Linked DNA regions of Tribolium castaneum. The protein of the gene in region 2 purifies or fractionates together with the protein of the main gene of each other region. This does not show direct contact. Links are inferred from orthologs where the notes say so. Each region holds a gene or a part of one and is shown on either strand. Other genes may lie near its edges. The genes, in order: U2 snRNP-associated SURP motif-containing protein, SmE, probable ATP-dependent RNA helicase DDX20, 7SK snRNA methylphosphate capping enzyme bin3, icln, Sf3a1 and calcium homeostasis endoplasmic reticulum protein.

Region 1 (4,112 bases), on a different chromosome or scaffold from region 2:
GTAAATGGTACGAAAAAGGGTACACTTGGCGCCCCCTAGACACCTCCCGACTCCCAGATTCAGACCCAAACAACATCTGTTTAACATGAAACACGTCATGATCCCCGGTTAAAGTAATATGTCGTGTTTTAGTGGAATTGTCTGTTGGGTCCTTATACTCCTCAGTCCCAGTCCACTCATTATGTTCCCTACATATGATCTCAAGTTTTATTCCTAGAAAAAAATGTAAAAACACATTGCTACAAAAATCATAATGCACCTCTAACAGTAGTCTCTTCATCAAAATAACACTCAAGCCGGCCCCTAATCTCAGATCCGGCATAATATGTCCCAGAATAATTCTCCAAACAAATGCGAACTTGAGACATTTCGCCCAAATTGTGGATCACCCCCTGTATAAAAATGTGTCGTAAAATCCTAACCTACCTTAGTGTTTCATGAATGAGACAGTTTATTTTAATAAATCAATTATAAATCATCCACGTACCTAAGTGAAGAAAAACCGTGGCGTAATTAGACGTAATTCATTTCTTTTCACCACTTCGACGAGAATTCAGCCTTGAATGGCGCCACTGAATTGAATTAAAAATAAAAACTGGTTGAAATATTTGAGCCCATCCCACTAATGTGAGACGAAGAGGTCGTAAATTGTGGCCATTGAAGTAAACAAGGAAGGAGAATTGTGACTAAATGAATGAGATAACGTAAAATGCTGATACGACTACACGTAAACACTACTCTATCGATGACTACGAAAACAGTTTTTCGCCCTAAAACTGCAATTCAAGTGCACTGTTATGCAATAATACTAATAATGAGCGGCGACCTCTAAAGCGGCCTTGGCAGTAGTGATTATGTAATTAGCGATTCACATGTCGTAGAGACTATTATTTCCCAAAATAAAATGAAAATAAAATAGTAATGATTTTTTTTGTTGATACAAATATTAATTAACAGTCTGCGTTTTTTATTAATTTATATATATTTTTTATTTGATGAGTTTATAGGACGATTTATGTGAAAATGATAAACACATAATGAAGCTAATGACTTGAATAATTACAGTAAACACAAACATTTTGTTTATTTTTGAAATAAACATAGTTACGAGATTTTGGAGTGTTCTTGTAGGCAACACGTAATACACCCATTTTTTATAAAACGTTACATAATTACGTTATCAATTTTTAGTTTCGAGTTTTTTAGTTTTTTACAAAAAGTACAAAAACGTGTGGATATTGTTTTAACTTTGTTGTTTTTTGGTTCATGTATTTTCGCCCAAAGTTTGGGAACGTTTACACGCAGTGTCAGCGTCGCCAATAGCCCACAATATGAAAACGCAAACTCCCTAAAACCACCAGTGTATTATTATTTTTTCATATCAGGAAATTAAACAATTATATTATGACTATTATTAGGTTTCCTTCAATATTAATTAGCTAAAACCGTTTTGTGAAGTGTTTGGTGGGAATTGCGTCCAAAATGGGTGATAAAATAAAGGTAGTTCACCCTAATAAAACCCCTCAAAACTAACGTTTTTCTCGTAACAGAACATTCCTGAGCAAAAATTAAAGGCTTTTTCGATCGGCACGATGGGGAAACGTTCGTTATCTAAAAAAGAATTAGAGGAACAACGGAAAAAAGAAGAGGAACGGGCTGCGGCTCATGTAGGACTAGTAATACAGTAGTATTTTTTACATAACCTCTTCGATTTAAGGTTTTTGAGGAATTTGTCGCTACGTTCCAAGAGTCCCCTATTAGCAGCTCGAGTAAAGTGTGGGTCAAAGCGGGGACTTACGATGCAGGAGCGCGAAGTATTTTTTAAATTGTGAAAAAAATCAAAAATAAATTGGGCTTTTGTAGAGGAGGATACTAAAGACAAGGGCAAGTTGTACAAACCGCAGTCCCGACTAGCCCCCACTGAATTAATGGCATCAACGGAAAAAGCTCAGTTTTACGCTAAATTAATCTCAGATAAGAAGCCTGAACGGTTAGGGAAGAAGAAACAGCACACTAAGAGCAACCTAGAGGCGTTTAAAGAGGAATTAAGACAGTAAATATACCATTGAGTTGGTCAAAATAGACAAAAATGTAGTGATAAGCGTAGAGCTAAAAATTGGTACAGTTCTTAGGTACACTATTACAAATAAAATATCAAAAGTCCCCACCGATCCCACGTGTGCTAAAAAAGTTATTCAATGTCAAAGGACAAAAGTATCGGTTTTTGCATTTTTTTGTAAAGCCGGAATTATGCCAAATGCAGGAAAAAGCGCCTGTATGGTCTGCAAATGTACTTATGTTTAAATGAACGCAAAACAAAATGAATGATTTTCTCTCTCCGTAATATAAATTTTGAAAACTTAGGAACAATAAAATACTTAGGCGTATTATTTGACCATATCTTGATAAAACAGTTATGATGAGTTTATTACTTGACGTGTCCTATAAATTAATGTAAATTTTCTAAGGATAAATAAATTATTATTGTTATTAAAATATTTTTTTAGCACACGTCGGATCGGTGGGGAGTTTTTTTATAGTTTATTTGTCATAGTTTACATAAGTCCTGTACGAATTTTCACCGCTATGCGAATTTTTGGAAATTGAAATGTCTATTCTGACCGGTCTCTTGTTTTGTGGCACAATTTGATGAAATTTTTGCCAGGATTCAGGAGGAGCGGGAGGAAAGACACAAGTACAAAGGGGTGCTCAGGACCCCCATGGAGTCCGAGCTGGACATGTTTTTGCGGAGCGGTGACTTGGGGTCGTTCGATAACGGCGACCCCACAACGACAAACCTCTACCTTGGCAACCTCAACCCCAAAATAACCGAGCAACAGTTGATGGAAATTTTCGGTCGTTACGGCCCCCTTGCTAGTATTAAAATAATGTGGCCCCGCTCGGACGAGGAGAAGGCCCGGGGCCGCAACTGCGGCTTCGTGGCCTACATGAGCCGAAAAGACGGCGAAAGGGCGCTTCGTAACTTAAACGGCAAAGAAATCCTAGGTTATGAAATGAAACTTGGTTGGGGAAAATCGGTAATAATCCCTCCACATCCCATTTACATCCCTCCCGCGCTCCTGGAACTGTCCTTCCCTCCGCCTCCCTCAGGACTGCCCTTCAACGCCCAGCCCTGCGCCCGGGATAAGGACGTTCTGCCCAAATCTGCAGAGGAACTGAACGAGATTTTGGGGCGCAGTGTTGTCAAAGTTGTGATTCCGACCGATAGAAATCTGTTGATGTTGATACACAGAATGGTCGAGTTTGTGGTTCGGGAGGGGCCCATGTTGGAAGCTATGATTATGAACCGGGAGATACACAACCCTAATTACAGGTTTCTTTTCGAAAATCAAAGCCCGGCTCATATCTACTACCGGTGGAAACTCTACTCCATCATGCACGGGGATTCACAGAAAGAGTGGAGCGTCAAAGAGTTTCGACTTTTCAAAAGTAAGAATTTGGTGTTTTGGACGGTTTTGCTCTAAAACGTGTTAATTTTGTGGAGATTTCGCGAAAACGCTCTCAAACGGCAAAATTATAATCTCCGTCAAGACATGATACACAACATACGGATACAAATAAACTTTGAAAAAAGTTGGGATATTATTGAATTTTAAAGAAAATCCACAGAAGCAATAAAAATAATACCATTTGTGTTTTTCTTTAAAGTTCTTTTTATCGTTTAAAGTTGTTCTGGTTTTATATCCTCCAGTAAATTTTGTCACCTTTAAAAACATTTATTCTTAAAAAATGACGTATACTCTGAAGTATATGAAGGACATTTGTATTGTATGTAATTCGTATGGATAAAATTATATAAATGGACGAGTAGTCATTACAGTTACAATATATAAACAATACAAATAAAATATGTAAAAAAATACCAAAAAAGAAAAAACTGACAAAATAGAGACATAACACTTGTACAAAACATTATAAATTACGAAGAAAAAGAGACTAAATAGATCGAATTGTAGAGTTTTTGGTCGGAAATTATGAAAGAAAATATCTAGATCTTTTGTAATAGAATTATATAATTTAAAACATTTCTTGTTTGCTTGCGAAGACGGTTCAATTTGGAAGCCCCCTCTGATGAATTCGTACACTGCCGG
Region 2 (2,564 bases):
ATTACAAATAAATAAGAGAAAAAAAAAATTTAATTTACCAATCAGAAGTAAGCGGACGTGAGAAATGACATGTGAGAGGTGCTGGCACACTCTGGCCCTCTCTTCTTCAGTCCAATGGGCTGTGGGTTGGGTGACACCAGCTTGGTACTTTGCCCAGTTTAAAATTGCTCTCCAGACATCCTCTTCCTCCAAACAGAGCTAAATTGAAACAGTAATAAATGATTTTAAGTAAAATTTTAAAACTTACATAATCTGAGGAGATTAATTTTAAGACTGCTTCTTTGGGAAGAGAAAGAAATGAGTTTGTTTTTACACATTCTACAGCATTTTCGCCAATGTAGCTGACGCAACGTTCGACAAAACCTGTCGCAGCTTTACCCCCTACAAAAAAAATATATTGGAACACCTACAAGCTTCACAATTCTAAAAAAGCGATAATTACCTGTATTGTCCATCACATTTTAATTTTAAGGACTTTGAAGTTATAAAAATAGACATAATTACTAAAATAATTTTAATGTCCGCATTTCTTTTACAGAAAGTTGATGAATCACTTAATACTAAGACCAATTGCGGTTTTCATACAAACACATTACTCCAACGAATGAAAAAATTGTTATGAAACTTAGAATTACGCTACAATTTACAACTAATTGCCTGATTGAGGATTCACGTTCTGTATCAGCGTTATGTTATCTCCTTTAAGCATGATTCTTCCCAGCTGCCTCCTGTTCTTCGTTTTAACGTAATATTCCTCAGCATCATCCAGCACAAGATTCATGTATTCATCAAAACCCACAATGTGCCCCTCGATTCTCAGATTAATGTTCTCGTATAACCACACTTGTACACGTGAACGGTTTTGTAAGTAACGAAAAATTAAGTTGATGGGTTGTACCATCACTTTTTGAACTTTTTGTGGTTTGTACGCCATGGTTAGAGGAGTCTTGGGTTACCGGCAAAAAAAGTTCTTTAAGGAAGCTAAGTGCAAACACACTTTCACACAGCACGAATTATTCGTATTAAGAGAAAAAAACTTGTTCAAAGTTTGCAATAGTATTTATAAAACTTAAAAAATGAGGCGACGCTTACAATACGACCAAAGTAAGGTTATCTGTGTGAGTTCTGTATTCTGTTGGCAATCGTGGAACGCGGGAAGCTTGACGAGCTGAAATACACCAGAAAAAGGTCTGGTGGTTTGGTCGTTTTTAGGCTGTTTCGAAACTATAAAAACACCAACGTCCCATTTTTTTTCCAAAATTATTCACGCAGAATTATAGTCGCACAATTTATATTTTGGGTTTTCCTTAACTAATCAAGCTGAGTTATTCCATAATTATCATCAGATGGGCGTAAATGTCTCGAAAAAAATTTTTTTTATTCTCATTTAGCTTTCTTTGACGTGATAGTTTTTTATATATTTTTTTTGAACTTGGTGTCTCATAAACTCAATTTTTTTTTAATAAGGTTGATAAAAATGTAAAATAGTTATTAATAAATAAATCATTGAGACTATAAATAACATTACCTATTAGTTTTTTGAAGTGCATAAATAATTTATAACAACTAATTTTGAGAGAAAATACGAGGTTGGCGTTTTTATAGTTTTGAAATAGCTAATATGAGGAGTTGCGCCGTGTCTTACACACACACAATCGTCAATAGGTCTTTCTTTGTCATTGTTACCCTTAATGACACAATTTTGGTTTTGGCGGGATAATTTTACGTGACTTTAAAGAAAAAAACGACAAGCTATAAACTCGATATAAAGATGTGAAACGACATTTAAATCAACTCTTTACTGAATAGGAAGGGTTATTTTGCTCAAAAAGTTAGATAAATGCCTGAAATCACACTTAAGAAAAAATTGCCAAGAGTGCTTTGACTTTGCACCAAATGGATGCTGCTTTTAACAGTTGTCATCGCGTGATTGTCAGTCAGTGTTGTTATCTCTCAGAAAATCGAACGAAACTAGTGATTATTTGGACTGGGTGGTTCAAAAATGCAAAGTGGGGCACCTGTTTTTGTGGAATATTTGTGAATTTGAAAGTGCGGGCGCGCAGACTGTGACCTGGCGCGATGCGCACAACGACCTGCCCCTTGACTGTGTTTATGGAGAATACTCGGGGAAAAACCGGCTCAAAAGACACATTTTTCAATTTGGGTAAGGTAAGTGCTACACCTTTGCGGCCCAAAACCTCTTTGAACCTTAATTTTTTTATTTGCACCGGAGATTATTTTTATTTATATTATTTATATTTTCCAAACTGTGATGAAGTGTAAAGTGTTGTTTGAGTCTTAATAGCCCCAAAAACTAGAATTAGGCGAGAAAAATCTCAAAATTAATGCCAAAACGATACAAAATTGATGTTAATGAGCCCTAGCCGATCCCAAAGGACCAAAGGATCATTTATATGAAATCTGTGCATAGGGGTTGAGTGTTTTTTCCCAATTTTCAAATGCTCAAATGGCATAGAGATACAGCGTCTCTATAGGCAGTCAGGGCGACTCTAAGTGCACTATTAGGTCACTATTTCTTTTTTAGTTATTTCTTCATTAGCTTT
Region 3 (4,090 bases), about 8.9 Mb from region 2:
TAAATCATAAGAAAGTGTTATTAAATAGTAGTGACACATCGTTTTCAGTTTTCTGAACATTTTTTATGTAATTAAAATCTGCGACGATCGTATATTTGTTCTATTGAAAATAACTTTAACATAACTTATTTTGATAATTTCAAATTTTTTACTTTAATAACCGTTCACAAAATTTCTAGATTATTCACAGCTTATATGTGAAATAATTTTTCCATGGCCAACTGCTTTCAATATGTTTTTTATTAAAAGTATATAGAAATATCAAACTGTATTTATATTGTTTTCAGTTCAGAAAAAAAAATTTTTTCGAAAATGTCATAGCCAACTATGATTCCTATTTAAAAAATTCAATTTTATGTTGTTACAGTTAAACAAATAATTAAAAAAAACGCTGATAACATTGTTATATTCTCTGCATAATGTGTGTCTTAAATGTGTATCTTTTATAATAAAAAAGATATGGGGTTTTTAGGATTTTGCTAAAATGGCAACTTTTATTTATAAGTCGAAAACAACCGCGGAAAGCGGTTTTGACCAAAATTATTTCTCAAAAATTGGACCTGAGAATGTGTCACTCGTTTTAGTCTAAACCTCTTATAGTTTCGAAGATCCTATTTGGACATCCAAAATGCAGCACCCTGTATAGTCGAACAAAATAAAAATAAAACGCGTCCATAACCACCCCCGATCCCTTGACCACAACCAACCAACCAACCCCTACCATAAATTATTAGAGATCGTAAACTAGTGGTTCAATGAACTTACAACTGATAAACATTTATTAATTTTCTTAAAAAACAAATGAGAACTAAAAAAATTTTCAGATTCGTTGCCATGTTTTGTCACTAAAAATAAATAAATTAGTTGGATGTTTTGTGGTTCACTTAAAAAAACAAATTATTTTCGGAAATAAAAAAATTGTAGTAAATAATACTTAGTTATAATTAAGACACGATTGAGTTCGAAAATCTCGAAGCAAATAAGTGGCTTAAAGTCCGACATCAAGTTGCCATTTAAAATTCAATGACAAAAAGGTAAAGTTAATTCGAATTAAAATTAAAATGTTTTTTAAATCGACACAAACTTATTTGGCATTAACTAAGTAATACAATTTTTTTTTGACCTCTTAAAACCTGATGTAACGAACTTGATTTTTTTTATTTTTCGTTTGTTTTAAAAAAAATTAATAAATTAATGTTTATCGATTTTAAGAAAAATTGGAAAATTTTGGTCTCACCTTATCTCCTATGGTGTTAGGTATTCTTAAATTTTTCTAATGAACCTTATTTGGACCTAAATGGTCAAAATTTTAATCAGGGTATTTCCATAAATGAATTACCCTAACGTCCATTGATTACTTTTATTCCAGTCATACCAAGTTTTTGAAACATTTAATAAACAAAAATGTTAATAAAACCGATTGTGCAATTAATAATTGAAACGATGAAAAGTATAGACAGACGTCTTTACCTGTAAAATTTAAAATACAATTTTATTAGATTACTACATTTTTGTTTTATCTTGTTTTATGCACAACGATTCAGTAAGTTTTATATCGTTAAGAAATAAACTATGTATAAAGACAATAAAATTTTTAGTTACAGTTTGTAACAATGAAATTTTAAAAATAATTATTATTTTAATTTAAAATATTTTTGAGCAGTGATCATTTCGCGGTCAAAGTCTTTAATGAAAAATACTACACCGATTACACCGCAAAAGATAGTGAAATAAAACAGTTTTTTAATTGTCACGTAATTTTATTTTTGCAACAAAACCTTTTAGTTTACGAAAACATATTAAACAGCACTCCCCAAATATAGTAAAAATTTAATTAACCTTCAACTCTGTTCATTAATTCGCAATGATAATAATTTAATATAAATGAAATAAGAATCCGTGTTTTATCACGTTTGTTATTCGGCAAATTTTAGTCGCATAAGTATTATAGTTATTTAAGTTTCAAGAACGGTAAGGAGATTTTACCGATCGAAGAGGAGCAGAAAGAGGAGGAGAAGCGTAGCGTTACACCTCACTCGTGTTCAAATAATGTGTTTTCGTACTTTGAGGAAGTAACTATTATTTCATGTTTGTCCTAGCCAACCATTTACAACAAGGAATTCTTCAACATTTCAAAATGTAGAACAACATTCAAAACTAGTTGACGATCTCTAATGATTTATTACAGGGGTTGGTTGTGGTCAAGAATTTGGTGTGGCACCGTAAACGTTCGTTTATGGACGCATCATTTTCATTTTGTTTGATTGTATGTTCTTTTACAAAAAAAAAAAATAAAAACCATTTACGTGACAGCCCACGCTGCGCAGAACGTCTTCAATTTGCACAGCTATTTCCCGCGTCGGGACCAAAATTAAGACTTGTAAATGGTCTTTGGCCGTATTAACAGTCTCAAGAGCAATTGTTGAGAACACTAAAGTTTTGCCGGTCCCGGACTTGGACTTCACAATTAAATCTACAATTTTCGATTAGTTCTAGTCCTGACAAAAGTGACAAACGTACCAAAACCGCATCGTCCTAGGGGAATGGCTTTGAACTGAATTGGAGACGGTTTTTTGAAACCACTAACCGAGAGCCCCTGTTTTATGTCGTCGGGGAGTAGTAATGACGCAAAACTGATGTTTTCGTCGAGAATTACGTCTTTTGTGCGCTCTTTTGCATCTAAATCGTGAGCAATGGTTGGCTGCATTATTAAATAAATTAAAACTGTCTAACCATAAAACTAACATAATTTTATAACCTCAAAAAACAAAAATTTGACGTTTCGTGATCGTTTGATGTGTTACAGAAATCTGTAACCGTACACGTACTAAAATATTTTAATTTTTAGTAAAACTATCAAGCTTTGTTATGTAAATAATTGTGCTACTTTTAGTTGCTAGAATTCATCATTTTGTATTTAAAATTGGTAAAAAACGTCTCTGAAACAGATAAAGACTGATTTGTTGAAGATGATTCCTGTAATGCCGACGTGGTGTTGGGATCGAAATGATGGCGCCAGTTTCGAAATGACTAAAATGAGTCGGTATTAAGTAACATTTTATTGTTCTGATATTCAGGTTATAACAAAAGGCAACAAAACAATAAGAAAGTACTATAATAGTCTTAAATTTAAATGAATTTTGTAAACAGAACGGCGTAAAAAGAACAATACCTCACTAAAACCGAGAGCATTATTGTTGCAGAAAACTACGAAAAAATCGAATTCAATATCTTACATATAGTCGAATTTTCTTTAATAAATAAACCCATAAAACCTCAAGCACATGTTTGACAGTAACAGTGTTTTTAATAATAAAACAAATCTCATGTTAGTTTCGAGCGTCGTAACTGTTGGAGGTAATTGCGTTGCACCGGTTTATGCAGCGCGAGCTGTTCTAGAGCCTCTTCTATCGTGAACCACTGTCGCTTCCTTCCTATGGTCTTTGAGTCTTCCCATTCGTCTAATTCTTCAGTTACTGTCATGACATACACTTCAGTCCTGTCTTTGTGTTCTAAATTCTGAAAAAAAGAACGTTCAGTAGAATCGGACACTTTCTTAAACTAAAAAAATAAAATTAAATTAACTACTACACGCTCTCTCGAAACAGTACCGAAATTATCGTAATCCCCCATTTAATGAATTTTTTGCAATTTTGAGTGAACATTGTCAATTTCTTACATTAGGGAGAGTATGTGGTGATAAATACTAGCTTTGACTTTAATTGTGGGGTTTTGCGTGGTTTAAAGTGTTTTTTGTTGGAATTTGAAAGTGGATAAAAAATGAAAAAAATAGTTCTAATTAATTTAACCATATTATCCATGCAAAGTATAATGACAAATAAATTCAAATCAGTTTAGTTCCCAATTATTAAAGTTTAATTCGTTTTCAAATTATAAAAAAATACAGGCTATGTACAAATTGGCGCGTAAAGTCTTCAGTACGCTATAGCACACGTTCCAACAAACATTAGAAAAATATAGTAATACCTTGTTTATCCAAAGTCAATAAAACCAAGGTTTCAGACGTAAAGATTTGGACTGTCAAAAAATCGGATTATTGAGTATACTTGAAGTATGTAGAACTTTTGTG
Region 4 (4,137 bases), on a different chromosome or scaffold from region 2:
CGCACCAACTCAATGCTACGCGGTAGAGAAATGCTTTCATAAAAAGGTAAAAATATTTTTTTTTAATTGGTAAATAACAAACTTTAAAGAAATGATTGTGGCAACGTTGTCTAACAATCGAGATCGCAATAGATCCCGATCAACAATAAAAATGAATAACTTTTGAAGTGGTTTCATAGGAAATCCCAATGTTGGCACATCTACAAATTGTGATTTTTGGATAAATTTTATTTTTTTAAATCCAAGGAACTGCTAAAGTCAGATAGTAATTTTTAAAATAATTATTCATTACGTTGGGGAACGATTACTTAGTGTGAAACATAGAAACATTAAAAAATAATGAAAACTGAAGAAGTCAGTAAACTAAGTTTGTAGCTTCATATTTTTTTGAATATGACTAGGAATTTTTTCAAGATTTTTCATATGATCTACACATGCTTTCCAACATTTTACCAGTGAGCTGGTGCACCAGTTTTGGAGCAGCCTGTATATTTCTTGAAAGAGATAAAATTATGAAAAGAAAAACTGACTTTGTGGTTATAGATATTTCGCCAGTTGTCCAGTTACCGCTCGTAAAACGTCTAAAAACTAATAACCTGATAAAAATTTATTTCAAGGTCGACAATTATTTATGTTTCTAGTATACCTAAAGATACAAACCAAATTTTTTAAGACTATTTGCCATTTTCACCTTTAACATGTCATAATTTTGCAAATAAAAATTACTACTAGATAAAGCATAAAAAGTCCGATCGAAAAGATACAGAAGATGGTTTCATAAACTATAAAGCTGCATTCAAACTTAAATATCTATTTTCGCATTGGAGTAATAAGGTAAACATCACATCGAGATCCTATAAATATGACTAATAAATAACACACTTTGTACAACGGAAGACAAGCAATTTTGGCACGTCATCCAAAAATAAAATACAAATATATTGTCCAAAAATATTTACGAAGTGCATTCGAAGCAGGTGTTACAACAGACTATAAACAAAACTTTTCAAGAATGTTTCCAATTGTGAATTCAGCCACTCCTTCAGCAGGAAAAACTAATTATTTCCCAATAATTATAAGTGGTTCGAATTTATGATCATTTGCGCCAATAAAACTCCAGGACCGTATCGACACATTTTCAAATAATCAATTCCGGTTAATTAGGTCGCGAATTTAGAACGTCGAAAAAACGCAATCATCCGCAATACCTTTCGGTTACCTCCCCAATTACCCGAAAATTACATAATTAGGAACATAACACTTTTCAACTCCTCGCTAAATCGCCCATCGTCCCTCATCGGCTCCGCTTCGGCAAACTCCGGCACTGATATTAAAATGGAGTCTAGTTTACAAGCACAACGATTTGTAGTCGTTCAGACGGTGCGTTGCAAAGTGAAGTCTCTTTTTCGGCCGTTTTTCAGCGGAACCTAAGGGAAAAGTGGCCCTCAAAGGGCATCAAACGAAAGCTGAAGCCACGCCGGACACGTTGAAGGTAAATTTTTTGACATTTATGTAATCTGTGAGGAGTTTTCGCCCAAAACGATAGCCAACGTCGATCTCCGCAGTGGCATACATGTTTGTTCCGGTGTGCGCGTGCGCAGTGCCGATTTTTTGCGGGAACTTGGGGTGCCGGGCTTTTTCGAAATTTTCGTAAATTTAGAAGGGCCACCGCTGAGGTGAACTTCGGAGAGGGTTATTTAGTCGGGAGTTTGCTCAGTGGGAAGGTTCCTAATTGAACACTGCTTTCGCGGGTTTGTTATCAAATTGCGGGAATCCGGACGTTTATTATACGCTCCGGCCGGAATTTAACGTCACATTTTTAGTTTAATTAATTTAATCGATGGTAATTAATTATCTGATTTATTTGAGGTGTTGTGTATTATACCGATTACGATAAGAATAATTTATTGCAGTTATTGGTGCATTTAGATTGGTCATAAATATTTAATGTGTTGACGGATTAAATTAGAAATAGTCAAATCCTTGATCTTAGACAACTGTAACCGAAGTGCGACCGAAAAATCAGAATACACGCAACGGCTTGTACAAGAATACAGAGTATTTATAAAATGTCTATCATCAAGTCACCTAAGTCGAATTTAATCGCTATCTTCTGTCAATATACTTACATTACACCCAGATATTTGTAATTAATTTGTAATTTGGCTGTTTGACAAAAATGCATGTTTGCATGAATAATGGCAGTTTTGTTGTTACTTTTTTTGTAATAAGAATCTTTTATCGTTGATATTGCGTGTGGGTTATTTATTTTTACATATTTCATTGATAAAAAATCCAGGCATATAATATATGATTACTTCGTTGCCAACACGTTAGATCTTGTTACAACTGACATTTTGCATATTGAAAATATAGCCAAGCTTCAAACCGTGCCGAAACCAAGAAATAGTTGAGTATATACGGGGTGAGTCTGCTAAAAGTATGTTTCACTATTCTCAGAAACTAATGGTCGCACCGCATTCAGTATTCACTGTTAAATACATAGTGACGGTTTATAGAAGCGTCAATAATCTAATTCGCAATTAAATGCGTGATCAACTGATCACGTGAACAAATGATTGGTCTATTCACGTTGTTAACTTTTAACAACGAATTAAAATTTAAGGGAGCTTTCTATAAACCGGCCTATTAAGTTTTTTGCTATGTATGTGAAATTTTTCCAAATTTTTTTACTCTTCTTTACAAGGTGATTCAAAAGTGTCGGACAAACTCTCGTATGGTGATAAAAGACATTCAATTAAGGACAAAAATGAAGTTAAATATTTTTTCTAAGAAGTCATTTTTTTATATATTTTTTAATTTGTTTTCTTTAGCAGGTGTATCGATTTTTGCTCTTTTGTTTCCTATGATGTCGAATTTTATTTATTAGCGAATTTGCGAGTTTTTTAATTGTTTTGTACATCATATGACATTAATTTTTGATTTTTTTGTCGTTTACGCAAAACGTCAAAAAACATGTAATCTGAATCACCAAAAACTTAACTGAAAAATTCTACTTTGAGTAGTTATAGCTCGTGGAAAAAGGCTAAAACAATTTTTGTCATAGGAATTTTTAATTCTCTTTGATGTCCTTTATCCGCACCCGAGAGATTGTCCGGTAATTTTGAATTACCGTTAAGTTAATTTATTAAATTTGTATTAATATAATGAAATTAAAAAAATGGGGTTGGTTTATGGAATCGTCATTATTTTAATCCACAATTAAATGCGTGATTAACTGATCACATGACCAAATTAAAGCAATTTGGTTGGTCCATTCGCGTTGTTAACTTTTAACAAGGCAGTTAACTTTAATTGAGCTTTCTATAAACCTGGTAAATGCGCCCAAAGAATTATATTTTAATAAAGCTTTCTATAAACCGACCCTTAGTGTTATTCTAAAACAACGATGTCTAAATGTTTTCGAGCAAAAATTCTTATAAAATAAATTTTGGTAGCCCTAAAATTACGTTTATTTAAATTTTGAATTTATAACTTTATTTATTATTTTTGGGGCTAGCGACATTTTTTATGGATTTTTATCACAGGACAACATTTAAGTATTGCTTGTTTTCAGATGACACAAAAAATAACAGTTAATAATAATTAATAATTCATAAATTTTAGGACCGGTTTATAGAAGCGTCATTAATTTCACTGATTAACAGATCACGTGACCAAATTGAACCAATGTGATTAGTCTATTCGCCTGTGATTAGTTTATTCGCGTTGTTAAGTTTTAACAACGAATTAGAAATTAATGAAGTTTTCTATAAACCGGCCTATAATTGCTTAAGGAATTGTAGAAAAATTCTGAAAAAAATAAATTAAATTAAGTTTTCAGTTGATTTTAAGAGATAATAATTAAATTGCTTGCAAGTGGTTGAAATAAATGAAATATTACGATAGATTTTTTTTGGGTAAAATATTTATACATGGTGTTGGTAAAAACAACGGTGTAACCCTTCGCTTACTGCAAAATTACAAAAAAATGTAAAATGGCCATTTTTTTCTAACTAATTTGTCTTTACAGCTAGAACTTAAGTAATAATATTGTCTTATTAGGAAGAAGGTTTTAAATAATTGCAAAAGACGAAATACCTACTAGACAACATTTAAAAAAAACTAAGAAGAATC
Region 5 (2,572 bases), about 3.9 Mb from region 2:
GAAACGGAACCCAACAAAATCGGGTTCGTGCTAATGGTCCGCAAAGGAAACAAGCAGCAATATAAAAATTTCGAGGCTGATATCAACTCCGAACTCGCTCAGAATCTGAGGGACCAGGAGTTGGCTCAGAAGGAGGAGAAGGAACGAGTGAAGCGCTTGACGCTGAACATCACGGAACGGTTTGAAGAGGAGGATTATCAAGACATGATGCAGCAGCAGAACAGGCCCGTGACCCAAAACTTGAACCGCGAACGCAAGAAATACCAGCACCCCAAGGGGGCGCCCGACGCCGACCTGATTTTTGGACCTAAGAGAGTTAGATAATGGGAGGAATTCAGGATGAAATGGTTGAATACGATTAAGGGTCAAAGAAGTTCAGAATGTTTCAGAAATAGATAGATTGTTTCGTTTTTAGTCTATCGGAATTGAGAATTGTGAAGGAGAAGCAAGGAATTTCATTTTTTGTTTCGTTCAACATTGTTTTCTGTTGGAATAAAACCTTTTCACTAGTCAGTGTTTTATAAAAAATGGATTAAAATTAAAGATACAAAACCTAACATAATTCAGGGATCAGTCTGCATCTTCAAAATCCTCATCCTCGTTGCCATTCCGGTAGCTGTACTGGACGTCGACTGAGTTGTTTTGTAGCCTTTCGGCCAAACTGTCGACAACTGCGTCCCCAATCTGCTCAGACTCTGCTTCTATAAACATTTCTTCTTCTGCGTCCGCGAATAAATTATCATCGTCCTCGTCGTCAACATCGGCAGGATCGGGATTGAGTTCTTGGCAAATTTTTATAGCCTCGTAAATACTTTGTACATGTGTGGGGTTTTCGGGGGCTAAAATCAGCTCCGAGAGGTCTGGCTCTGACTCAACGTCACTGTCATCATTTGCGGGCCTTTGGTCAGTTTCTCCTACAAAACGACGCACAATAAACCAAATTTTGCGCAAAAAATTACAAACCAAACAAATTTATGTGGGGGTCAGTCAAAATATAAATACACTCCCTCTCGCACACGTTGGGGTCTTTGGACACCGCATGGAGCGAGACGTTGTAATATTCAATTGAAAAACCCGTAGTCCCGTCTTTTTGCCAACTGAGTGTCCTGTAATTTAACACAATGTATTTTTCGTTTGGTTTTGCCATAATTGTGTTACCTTTCGCTCACAAATAGGGTTCCGGTGCCCAGATCACGTTTATCCAAAATCACCACAACGTTTGACTGCTCGAGTCTTATAGGAGATTCTGGTGGTTTAAACGACGTGACCACAACCATTCTTCCTCCACTTTTTTTCGCAAAACGTGTTTATTTTTCAAAATTATTGTAACCACAAACTATGGCGCTTGACGTTTAACTTGGGGATTTTTATTTTCTTTTGGCGGCGTTGTGAGCTAAGGACCAATCACGGGCTGGTATTTTGAACCGGCTGTGTTTGATTGGGGAAAAAAACCTGTTATTCTGTGGGGAAAATATTTGTTGTCAATTGAGGTTAGGTGTTTGTTGACAAAAACTGATGGATTCCCAAAAAACAACCTTTTGTAACGAAATCTCGCTGATGATGTTTGGGTTCGGCGACAGCCACAAGCCGAACCCCGAGACGGTGCGTTTGGTGGAGAGCATCGTGTTGAAGCAGCTCCGCATGATCGTCCAGGAAGCGCTGAAGTACTCCGATGGTAAGAACCTCAAAGGCAAGGAGTTGGTGTTCCTAATGCGGCACAATAAGCACAAAATGCGCCGCTTTTTCCAATATTTGAAAAACAAGCAACTCAAACAGCAACTCCAGTCGTTGAACTCGGGGGTCATTGAAATTGACAGAGATCCCATACCGAAGAACGAGCTAATGAAGTTTATCGAGTACATAGACGAGACGGGAGAATTCACCGATTTATCCGAAGTTGATGAAGTCAAACAGTCGAGGATGCTGAGGGCTGATCGCATATCTCAAGCCCTGGACGAGAAGAGGTATTTGGAGTTTTGCAAAGCGAGAGCCACCTCGTTTTGCAGTAGAGATATCACGGCCCGAAACTCCGAAAAATTAAGACAGTGGATTGACCCGAAAAAGGAAATTAATTTCAGCACTAATGCTATGGTGGTTTTGTCGTATTTGGGGTACCAGACAGTTGCTGAGATAACCGATTATGCGTTGCTTGTGAGGATGGAGGGCAAATGTGGGAGTGATCCACTGAATCATTTATACGGCAATTACTACACTTCTACGATGTTTAATGGGGATTATAGGATAGGGGCTAGTGGTAACAATCCAGACTATAGCAGGGTTTACAGTGGACAGCCCCCCATTAGTGTCAATGAAATTAAAGAAGTTATGAGAAGAATTCACTGTCCGCAAGCAGGGAAGCTGAATTTCGGGGGAAAACTACCAGACACGCATTATCTATTTGCTCTGTAATTTGTTCTAATAAAGTTTAATTTTTTAAACGGTCTTTTATTTATCCAAATATTACGCTGCAAAATTTATGTGCAGCGAATCCATTCTCGACAAATTTTTTACGAAAAAAATAGAGATTATGCAAGATGATATTGAAGCAACCGATGTTATAATTTCTCTCGCC
Region 6 (3,500 bases), on a different chromosome or scaffold from region 2:
GTCGAAGTCCGGGCTTTGATTGAAGGACAGTTTATCGCAAGACGGGCTTACGTCGAAGACATTGGATTTAAATTGGACAAAGAAACGAAGATTCTAGCAACGGGAGGTGCTTCCAATAATAAAGCAATTCTTCAAGTGCTTTCGGACGTCTTCAACGCACCTGTTTACCTCCTAGTGAGTATTAACTTTTTTAACTAGCGTTTTTATACTGTATTTAAAAGTCAAAAAGCCGCTGCCATTGTCAAAAGTATAGAAAAAATAACTATGTAACTCATGTAGGACGAATCGAAGTCGGCCATGTTGGGGGCCGCTTATCAAGCGAAACACGGACTTTTGGGCTCTCAAAGTAACTACTTTGAGATTACGTCATGTCTCCCCCCACCACGACTCATTTGTCAACCATATTCCGACGCTAGTGAGATCTACGAACCAATGGTTGCGCGATATAGAAAGTTGGAGGCTATGCTTTTAGGAAATAAAGTCTGAATATACGTAATAAATATACCATTCTAGTGATAATTTATTTGAATTCTTGATTAAATACACTTTATTTTTTGCGACCACCTCTTTCCTTCACTTGTAGTTGTATTACAGCCCCCGTGATGATATTATAGTAAGCAAGCGTGTTTGAATCCTTGAAAAACATGCCCTGGAAAAAACAAATAAGTAACCAACAAAAAAAATTTAATAATTAAATTTACATCATAAAATAATTTTTGTTTCGCCGGAGGCATATTGGTCTCTTCCTGTATTTTCGATTTGATTGAAGAAACACTTTCGGAAAGTGGGACATTCAACGCCATCATTTGTCCCGTCAATTTCCATTCTGTCTTTTCGGGAACCACCGGAATGGCGATTTTAATCGAAACAGGATTCTGTAATTTAAAATTGTAATTTTGACATGCGCACACTTGATCAAACGTACCGGATTGCGTGATAAGAAAACTTCTTCAGGGATGAGTGAATCCTCATTTCGCATTTTTTTATTCGACGGTTCTTCTTCCGGTTGCGTCTCACTTGGATGTTTGACCGGCATTCCGCCCATGGGTGGCATCTGGGCCATGGGTGTGACAAAACCGGCCATGGGTGGAGGTGCTGCCACTAATGAAAAACTTAATAACTTGTTTCATTAAAAGCAAAAAAAAACCTACTCATGAGTGGTGGTGGCCGCATAGGAGCCATAGGCGGCGCTGGCATCATCATAATGGACGTCTGTTGTAGCATCGTGGCTTGCTGTGGAACCTGAACGATGGTTTGAGTTTGTGTTTGCATAACTGCTGATACCGGTGTGGTTTTAACCGGCTAAGCAATATATACAAGTGAGAAATGAACGGAATCTGTTCATACTTACCGGGTTTGGATTTGCGAGAGGTTTCGCAGAGATTATAGCAGCGGCAGCGGCCGCAGCGCTAACTTTAGCCTGGGCTTTGCTACCAACCACGTTTTTCGGACCGATCTTCTCTTTCTCCTCGTCCGGCAATAGCCCTTTCACCTAAAAATGTTTGTTTGTTTTTTACTGCACCGCAATAGCCATAATGACGCGACATGTGCGTCTCACCAACAAAGAAAAACGACAAACTCTAGAGCCGAACCGAGATAATAATTAAAAATCGAAAATTTCGAAATTACAGCAAACAGACCGACAATAAGAGTAACTAAAATAAAAACATCGTGAATAATGCCTTCTCTTTTCATCATAGAGATGGGAGTTTAAAAAATCACAGTTAATAATAAAAAACAAACCCAGAAATTAAAGATTATTAGAATCGTAACATGTAAGAGTATTTCACATAAAGTATAATAATTAAAAAGTTAAAAAACACGGCACAGTACACGGTTATCATAAGCCCACCTCCAACGGAAAAAAAATTTGTTTGATATTTGGATGTTATTTATGTACACGCTGTTCCGTCTAAACCCCAGATATATTGGGAATTGGGAGTTCTAAATAATGATAGTTATCTGAAAATTTGTATACAACCATAATCCGTTAAGTCTGATCAATGAAAATACTTTCAATAAGGTTATCCCATAAGTAGTTATCAACTTTCTTAATTTAAATGGAAAGCTATTTATGTTTTAATAATGCATTTTTGGATTACTTGAGTTATTTTAAGGGAGTTTTTAATAGTTTTTTTATACTTATATTTAATCGGTTTCGAAATATTTAGTTTTTTGAAAAATTTTGATTTGCATCTTTGACTTGAAAAATCTGCTTTTTTTTAATGTTTAAATCCTTTTTGGCTTGTTTGAAAGAAAAAATCTTTTCTTTGGTGTCTTCACACTAAAAAAGTAAGTTGCAGCACTCCAAATACCAATAACTCAAAATTTTTAAATGAAATTCCACAATTTTTATTTCACTAAAGGGTAGAAAATTTAATTTTGTATCAATTCCATACAGTTATACGAATTTTTTTGTTGGTATTGAGAAATGCCATAGCGCTTTTCGCATGCGTTGCCATCGAGGTTGCCATGGAATCATGAGTAAAATACAGGTTGTATCAAAAATACGTGTTTCTTTTGTGGAAACAAGTCGGTCAGTGTTTAATAATTAGTTTGTATTCATAGCAACAATTTTTATTGTTATTTTAAATTGTTTACATGTTCCGTTTCTATCACAATGAAAATAGTTCGGCTCTCTTATTTTTGTACCCATAGGCAGGTACACGTTTCAGTATGTTATCTTTTTCCAAATTTTAAGTAAATTTGCGAATTTTTTGTTGAAAAATTACAAATAGAATGTTTTTATATTTGCTGAAGTCTATTACCTGTCAAAATTAAGACACGTATTCCTGATACACCCTGTATAAGAAATCTAAAGTTTTTCAAATCTAAATTCAATGAATTTATTTGTTTTAATGGAAAGGAAAGCAAAATTTTGAACAGAGCTTATCGCTTATTCAGTGAGAAATGTTTCCTTGTAAAACTCTGCAAAAATAGCTCTTGCTAGTAAGGAACCTCGGGCAATGTCAAAAAAAACCAACATAACTTAAAAATTATCACAGATAGGTATAGTTAATGCTAATACAGATCGTTGAAGAATTACATTTTTCCACCTACTGAAATAAAAATTCCATTTGAAAAAACTGATATATAGCTTGTAGAAGTGTTCAAATATGTTAAAATTTTAAGGTTTGTAAACTTTTTTCCAATTAGTTTGATTTCGTCGAAGATGGTGCTCAAAAACTGGCGCACCAACTCAGTAGTACGTTATTGAGAAGCAAGTGCAGATTACGGGAAAAATGTTGAAAAAATTCCTAAAGTCATATTTTAAAAAATCTGGAGCTACAAACTTATTTTGTTAACTTCTTCAGTTCTCATTTTTTTTATGTTTTTATTTTCATACCAGGTAATCGATCCGTAACAAAACGATGAATAATTATTTTTAAATTTTCTATCAGACTTTAGCAGTTTTTTTAATTTACAAAAATTAAAATTTATCCAAAAAATCACAATGTGTAGATGTGACAACACTGGGAATTATTTCCTAGGAAAACGTT
Region 7 (4,011 bases), on a different chromosome or scaffold from region 2:
TAGCGACTTGATTCTTGCAAATTTGTATTCTGCCGGTCATTTTACGTTAGAAACACTCAATTCTAAGGGAATAATTATGAAAAGTTGGAAAATAATGAAGAAAGTTTGGTTTCAAAAAATTTTGACGAGGCTAAATTTTTGACTATATTTTCCGAACGGTTAGTCGTAGCAACTTGATTCTTGCAAATTTGTATTCTGCCGGTCATTTTACGTTAGAAACACTCAATTCTAAGGGAATAACTATGAAAAGTTGGAAAATAATGAAGAAAGTTTGGTTTCAAAAAATTTTGACGAGGCTACATTTTTGACTATATTTTCCGAACGGTTAGTCGTAGCGACTAGATTCTTGCAAATTTGTATTCTGCCGGTCATTTTACGTTAGAAACACTCAATTCTAAGGGAATAACTATGAAAAGTTGGAAAATAATCAAGAAAGTTTGGTTTCAAAAAATTTTGACGAGGCTAAATTTTTGACGATATTTTCCGAACGGTTAGTCGTAGCGAGTTGATTCTTACAAATCTGGATTCCGCCGGTCATTTTACGTTAGAAACACTTAATTCTAGGGGAATAACTATGAAAAGTTGGAAAATAATGAAGAAAGTTTGGTTTCGACAAATTGTGACGAGATTAAATTTTTGCCGATATTTTCCTAACGGTTAGTCGTAGCGACTTGATTCTTGCAAGTTTGGATTCCGCCGGTCATTTTACGTTAGAAAAGCTCAGTTCTAAAGACATAACCTCGAAAAGTTGGAAAATAATGAAAAAAGTTTGGTTTCGACAAATTTTGACGAGGCTAAATTTTTGATAATAATAATAATAATAATAATAATAATAATAATAATAATAATAAGTATTATTCGAAGATAATTTTAATTTTTTCACTTACAACAACTGGGCTAATTTTATTAGAAATTACAAAAATCCTCCTCTTAATGTGTATTTAATGAAATTAAAAGGCTTTTTAGACTTTTGGAACATTTATTTGAATTTGAATGTAACTTCACCTTGTTACAAGAAAAAAATTGAGGATGGAAGGTAACTTAAATTATCAGAAGTTATTTGGTTTCAGTTAAGAAAAGCAGAAATTATATATTTTTAAACAAATTCTACAGAAACTTTCAAATGTGTCAAATTAAGAAGAAAACCAAGAAAGTCTTTAAATTTGCCTCAATTACTCCTCCAACTTAGAAATCAGCGCAAATCCATCAGTAAAGCAAAATACTTGATGACTGAGCTTAATTGGACACCAGAGGAATATCAAGACTTTTACAGAAATCTTCCTTATATCCAAAATGCTCAAGATTTTTCGGAAGACAATTAACCCATTTACAACAAAAAAATCCATAACAAAATAAAAAATAATAACGAAATAAATAATAGCGGGTATTTTGTAATGAAACCGTTAAAATTTAAAGGCAGTTAATTATTGTTATAGCAATTCTTAGATTTCCGATTTTAACCAGTGTTGAATTTTAACAGCCAGTTAAAAAAGTTACAGAATACACGCTAATGTTAGGTAAAATTGTGACATTGGCTATTAAATACGAATTTTTATTTATTTTAAGTTAGTCCTGAATATTGAGGTACAGATTTAGCGCCTAAATTGCAATTTTGTTTAATGCTCAATTCTGATAATATGAGATTATTACTTTGCTCTCTAAAACTATGCCTGATTATGATTAGTGTTACGTTAATAAAAAGTTGTTTTCTAAATATTTTTTTTTAATTTTTGCTCCAATAAGAAAATGGTAGCCCCTATTTAGTAACTTTCCTCTGAGAATACCGGCACTTACTTTGTTAGTAAACAGTGGACTATGCAATAAGCCTGCTCCTTGCTGTTTGCATGTTGCAGAAACCAAGACTTGCCGTTGCTTATACTGTCCTTCGTGCAACTCTCAATAATGGGTTGCAAAATATTGTAAATGTCCTCTAAAATTATATCACAAGCTTCCGCCTCCTTCTGCAAAGCTGCGGCTTCACACTTGGCCACCACAGCCTCAGCCTGGGCCTGCTGCTGTTGCAGCAACACCGTATGCTGCGCCGACAGATTCTGCTCACTTTGCTTGATCTGCTCCCTCAAACTGTCTTGCTGCATTGAGATTTGTTCAATCTCGGAATTGTGCATCGTGGATGGCGAGTTCCAGTTATTCGGACTGTTCTCCAAAATCCCCTGCTGCTTTAGCACTAAAACGATCACAATGCGGCGCAAGTTGCACGAAAGTCGCAATCAAATACCTGCTTGCTCCGTGGTGACTTTATACTGATAGTAATTGTAATACTCTCCTCCATACAGAAACTGGAACTTGGGGTTGCCTTTCTGCTTGTTTTTGGTCATCTGTTCGAACTCGGGCCCATTTCTAGCAACAAATTGGGCGAGTTTGTCGATAATATTTCTTAATTCAGTATCTAACAACAAACATAACCTCAATCGTCTCGCATTTGCAAGGGAAGAAAACCGGCGTTTTCGCGAAGTTGGGGCACCTACCTTGGGGCGGCTGCGGCAAATCCATTGCAATCCTAAGTTAAAGCATACTTTATCTCAGAAAACTCATTAATTCGGGAAATATGGGATTATTTGAAAATTGACAAAACGCTCTCGAATGTAGGAACACTGACACGCAGTTCGGCCAACGTAACACTCACCACTTGTTGGGCAAACGACCTCAAAACTAGCACTTTTCCAATTAAAACGGCCCCAAATTTGATACGCTCGGTTAATAGAACACTTATCAATAGATTTTGGGTAAAAATAATCAAGTTTTTGCGTGTTTTTGCAAAACTTTGCCGGGTCATGTTGGCGCCTTGCGGCGCGCAATTTGAATCACCTTGGAGATCAAGTCAAAATTCCTTCAGTCATTTCATCAAAATCATCATCATGTTAAAATTAGATATAATCGTCCACCCCTCATTCTCCGAACCTAAAGTAACCGCGTCCGAGCCTACAACCAAGGCCCCCAAGCAGTGGAAATGGCCCTGGCGGATAAACATGCTCAGCGTGCCCCGAATCCGGGTGCCGAAGTACGCGCCTCCGGTCCCCAAACCGCCCAAAACACCGGAACGCCTGGACCCCGGAATCGAATTCCGCAGCGACCACCTCTCCAGGCCCCCACTCAGGCTGCTTAACGTGAACCTGACCACGTACAAGCGGGGCCCCAAATACGCCAAAAACCTGACCAAACTGATCGACAAATCGTGGGGCTCCATATACAACTACTACCGCAAACAACTCAGAGACAGGCGCTTGAAGCGACTGAGGCGCAAGTTGGAGAAACTCAAAGCAAAGAAACCGAAAGGCAAGTCGTTGGAAAAAATCCAAGCCATGAAGCAAGAACACTGGAACCGCATGGCGCAACCCAAGAAGATCCCGCTTCCTGAGAAAATCCCCAAGAAGTGGAAGCCGCTCGACGACCTCCTGGCCAACATCGACGTGCTCGCCGCCCCCAAGGAGTACCACATCGTGCCCCCGAGAGTCCTGGGGGTGGTGAACCCCAAGGCCCTGACGTACGAAATCACCGAGGCCATCCAGAAGCTGTACCACATTCCTGACCGACTTAAGAAACAGCCCGAGGGGTTACCGCTCGGGTATGTGAAGAGGTCAGCTCTGAGGGCGAAGTGCAACGAGAGAATTGACAAACTGGCCCTGCCTTCGTTCAGTGCACGCGAGGCTAAGAAACACGACGAGGACAAGTACGACCCTTGGGTCATCTCGCCCAACGCTCTGAAGTACAAACCCACGGCTAGGATACTGGAACTGGCAAAGCCGTCTGAAAGAGAGTAGCTAGGTATTTACAATTTATTGATCTAAAGTTATGGACGCAAATAACATTGTGTAACAAAACAAGCAATTAAATTATTCTCGCATGAAAAAGGGTATAAATAAAAAGTACACCTACTCAGATAATAAAGATAAAATAACAGTAAGGGGTCTAATGAAAAAATCCTAGTGTGCCTAAAATAATTAAGTACTCAATATTAAAAACAATTATTTACAGTGTCTCACTAAAAAATAA

Evidence for each region.
Region 1: the proteins of SmE (region 2) and U2 snRNP-associated SURP motif-containing protein purify together in Homo sapiens (co-immunoprecipitation; 3 studies listed by BioGRID and IntAct, counting the BioPlex papers as one, with this or other methods). This does not show direct contact. The link is inferred for Tribolium castaneum from reciprocal best matches to the Homo sapiens genes SNRPE and U2SURP.
Region 3: the proteins of SmE (region 2) and probable ATP-dependent RNA helicase DDX20 purify together in Homo sapiens (affinity purification with mass spectrometry; 4 studies listed by BioGRID and IntAct, counting the BioPlex papers as one, with this or other methods). This does not show direct contact. The link is inferred for Tribolium castaneum from reciprocal best matches to the Homo sapiens genes SNRPE and DDX20.
Region 4: the proteins of SmE (region 2) and 7SK snRNA methylphosphate capping enzyme bin3 purify together in Homo sapiens (affinity purification with mass spectrometry; 3 studies listed by BioGRID and IntAct, counting the BioPlex papers as one, with this or other methods). This does not show direct contact. The link is inferred for Tribolium castaneum from reciprocal best matches to the Homo sapiens genes SNRPE and MEPCE.
Region 5: the proteins of SmE (region 2) and icln purify together in Homo sapiens (affinity purification with mass spectrometry; 5 studies listed by BioGRID and IntAct, counting the BioPlex papers as one, with this or other methods). This does not show direct contact. The link is inferred for Tribolium castaneum from reciprocal best matches to the Homo sapiens genes SNRPE and CLNS1A.
Region 6: the proteins of SmE (region 2) and Sf3a1 purify together in Homo sapiens (affinity purification with mass spectrometry; 3 studies listed by BioGRID and IntAct, counting the BioPlex papers as one, with this or other methods). This does not show direct contact. The link is inferred for Tribolium castaneum from reciprocal best matches to the Homo sapiens genes SNRPE and SF3A1.
Region 7: the proteins of SmE (region 2) and calcium homeostasis endoplasmic reticulum protein purify together in Homo sapiens (co-immunoprecipitation; 3 studies listed by BioGRID and IntAct, counting the BioPlex papers as one, with this or other methods). This does not show direct contact. The link is inferred for Tribolium castaneum from reciprocal best matches to the Homo sapiens genes SNRPE and CHERP.

Annotation. Positions count from the first base shown.
Region 1 is NC_087403.1:337,146-341,257, forward strand, and holds the start of U2 snRNP-associated SURP motif-containing protein, read left to right. Parts: upstream 1-1,312; 5' UTR 1,313-1,482; coding exon 1,483-1,500; intron 1,501-1,550; coding exon 1,551-1,667; intron 1,668-1,717; coding exon 1,718-1,814; intron 1,815-1,863; coding exon 1,864-2,053; intron 2,054-2,665; coding exon 2,666-3,450; intron 3,451-4,066; coding exon 4,067-4,112. Other genes in the region: arrestin domain-containing protein 3, read right to left, coding at 1-213, 260-368.
Region 2 is NC_087394.1:32,141,404-32,143,967, reverse strand, and holds SmE (probable small nuclear ribonucleoprotein E), read right to left. Parts: upstream 1,152-2,564; 5' UTR 935-1,151; coding exon 650-934; 3' UTR 501-649; downstream 1-500. Other genes in the region: kelch-like protein 21, read right to left, coding at 39-198, 248-381. UniProt on the Homo sapiens protein: Plays a role in pre-mRNA splicing as a core component of the spliceosomal U1, U2, U4 and U5 small nuclear ribonucleoproteins (snRNPs), the building blocks of the spliceosome.
Region 3 is NC_087394.1:23,207,160-23,211,249, forward strand, and holds the start of probable ATP-dependent RNA helicase DDX20, read right to left. Parts: upstream 2,801-4,090; 5' UTR 2,708-2,800; coding exon 2,521-2,707; intron 2,474-2,520; coding exon 2,300-2,473; intron 1-2,299. Other genes in the region: Aps (diphosphoinositol polyphosphate phosphohydrolase 2), read right to left, coding at 3,325-3,519.
Region 4 is NC_087395.1:19,351,113-19,355,249, reverse strand, and holds the start of 7SK snRNA methylphosphate capping enzyme bin3, read left to right. Parts: upstream 1-1,337; 5' UTR 1,338-1,492; intron 1,493-4,137. UniProt on the Homo sapiens protein: S-adenosyl-L-methionine-dependent methyltransferase that adds a methylphosphate cap at the 5'-end of 7SK snRNA (7SK RNA), leading to stabilize it.
Region 5 is NC_087394.1:28,289,380-28,291,951, forward strand, and holds icln (methylosome subunit pICln), read right to left. Parts: upstream 1,294-2,572; 5' UTR 1,278-1,293; coding exon 1,159-1,277; intron 1,107-1,158; coding exon 964-1,106; intron 915-963; coding exon 571-914; 3' UTR 501-570; downstream 1-500. Other genes in the region: Upf2 (regulator of nonsense transcripts 2), read left to right, coding at 1-324; transcription initiation protein SPT3 homolog, read left to right, coding at 1,516-2,409; uncharacterized protein LOC103312536, read right to left, coding at 2,461-2,572. UniProt on the Homo sapiens protein: Involved in both the assembly of spliceosomal snRNPs and the methylation of Sm proteins.
Region 6 is NC_087397.1:12,575,687-12,579,186, forward strand, and holds the end of Sf3a1 (splicing factor 3A subunit 1), read right to left. Parts: intron 1,493-3,500; coding exon 1,352-1,492; intron 1,303-1,351; coding exon 1,152-1,302; intron 1,102-1,151; coding exon 926-1,101; intron 876-925; coding exon 702-875; intron 650-701; coding exon 548-649; 3' UTR 490-547; downstream 1-489. Other genes in the region: xylulose kinase, read left to right, coding at 1-174, 280-486. UniProt on the Homo sapiens protein: Component of the 17S U2 SnRNP complex of the spliceosome, a large ribonucleoprotein complex that removes introns from transcribed pre-mRNAs.
Region 7 is NC_087395.1:15,663,928-15,667,938, forward strand, and holds the start of calcium homeostasis endoplasmic reticulum protein, read right to left. Parts: upstream 2,801-4,011; 5' UTR 2,795-2,800; coding exon 2,645-2,794; intron 2,639-2,644; exon of another isoform or gene 2,519-2,638; coding exon 2,487-2,518; intron 2,408-2,486; coding exon of another isoform or gene 2,359-2,407; coding exon 2,237-2,358; intron 2,186-2,236; coding exon 1,795-2,185; intron 1-1,794. Other genes in the region: uncharacterized protein Theg, read left to right, coding at 2,877-3,779. UniProt on the Homo sapiens protein: Involved in calcium homeostasis, growth and proliferation.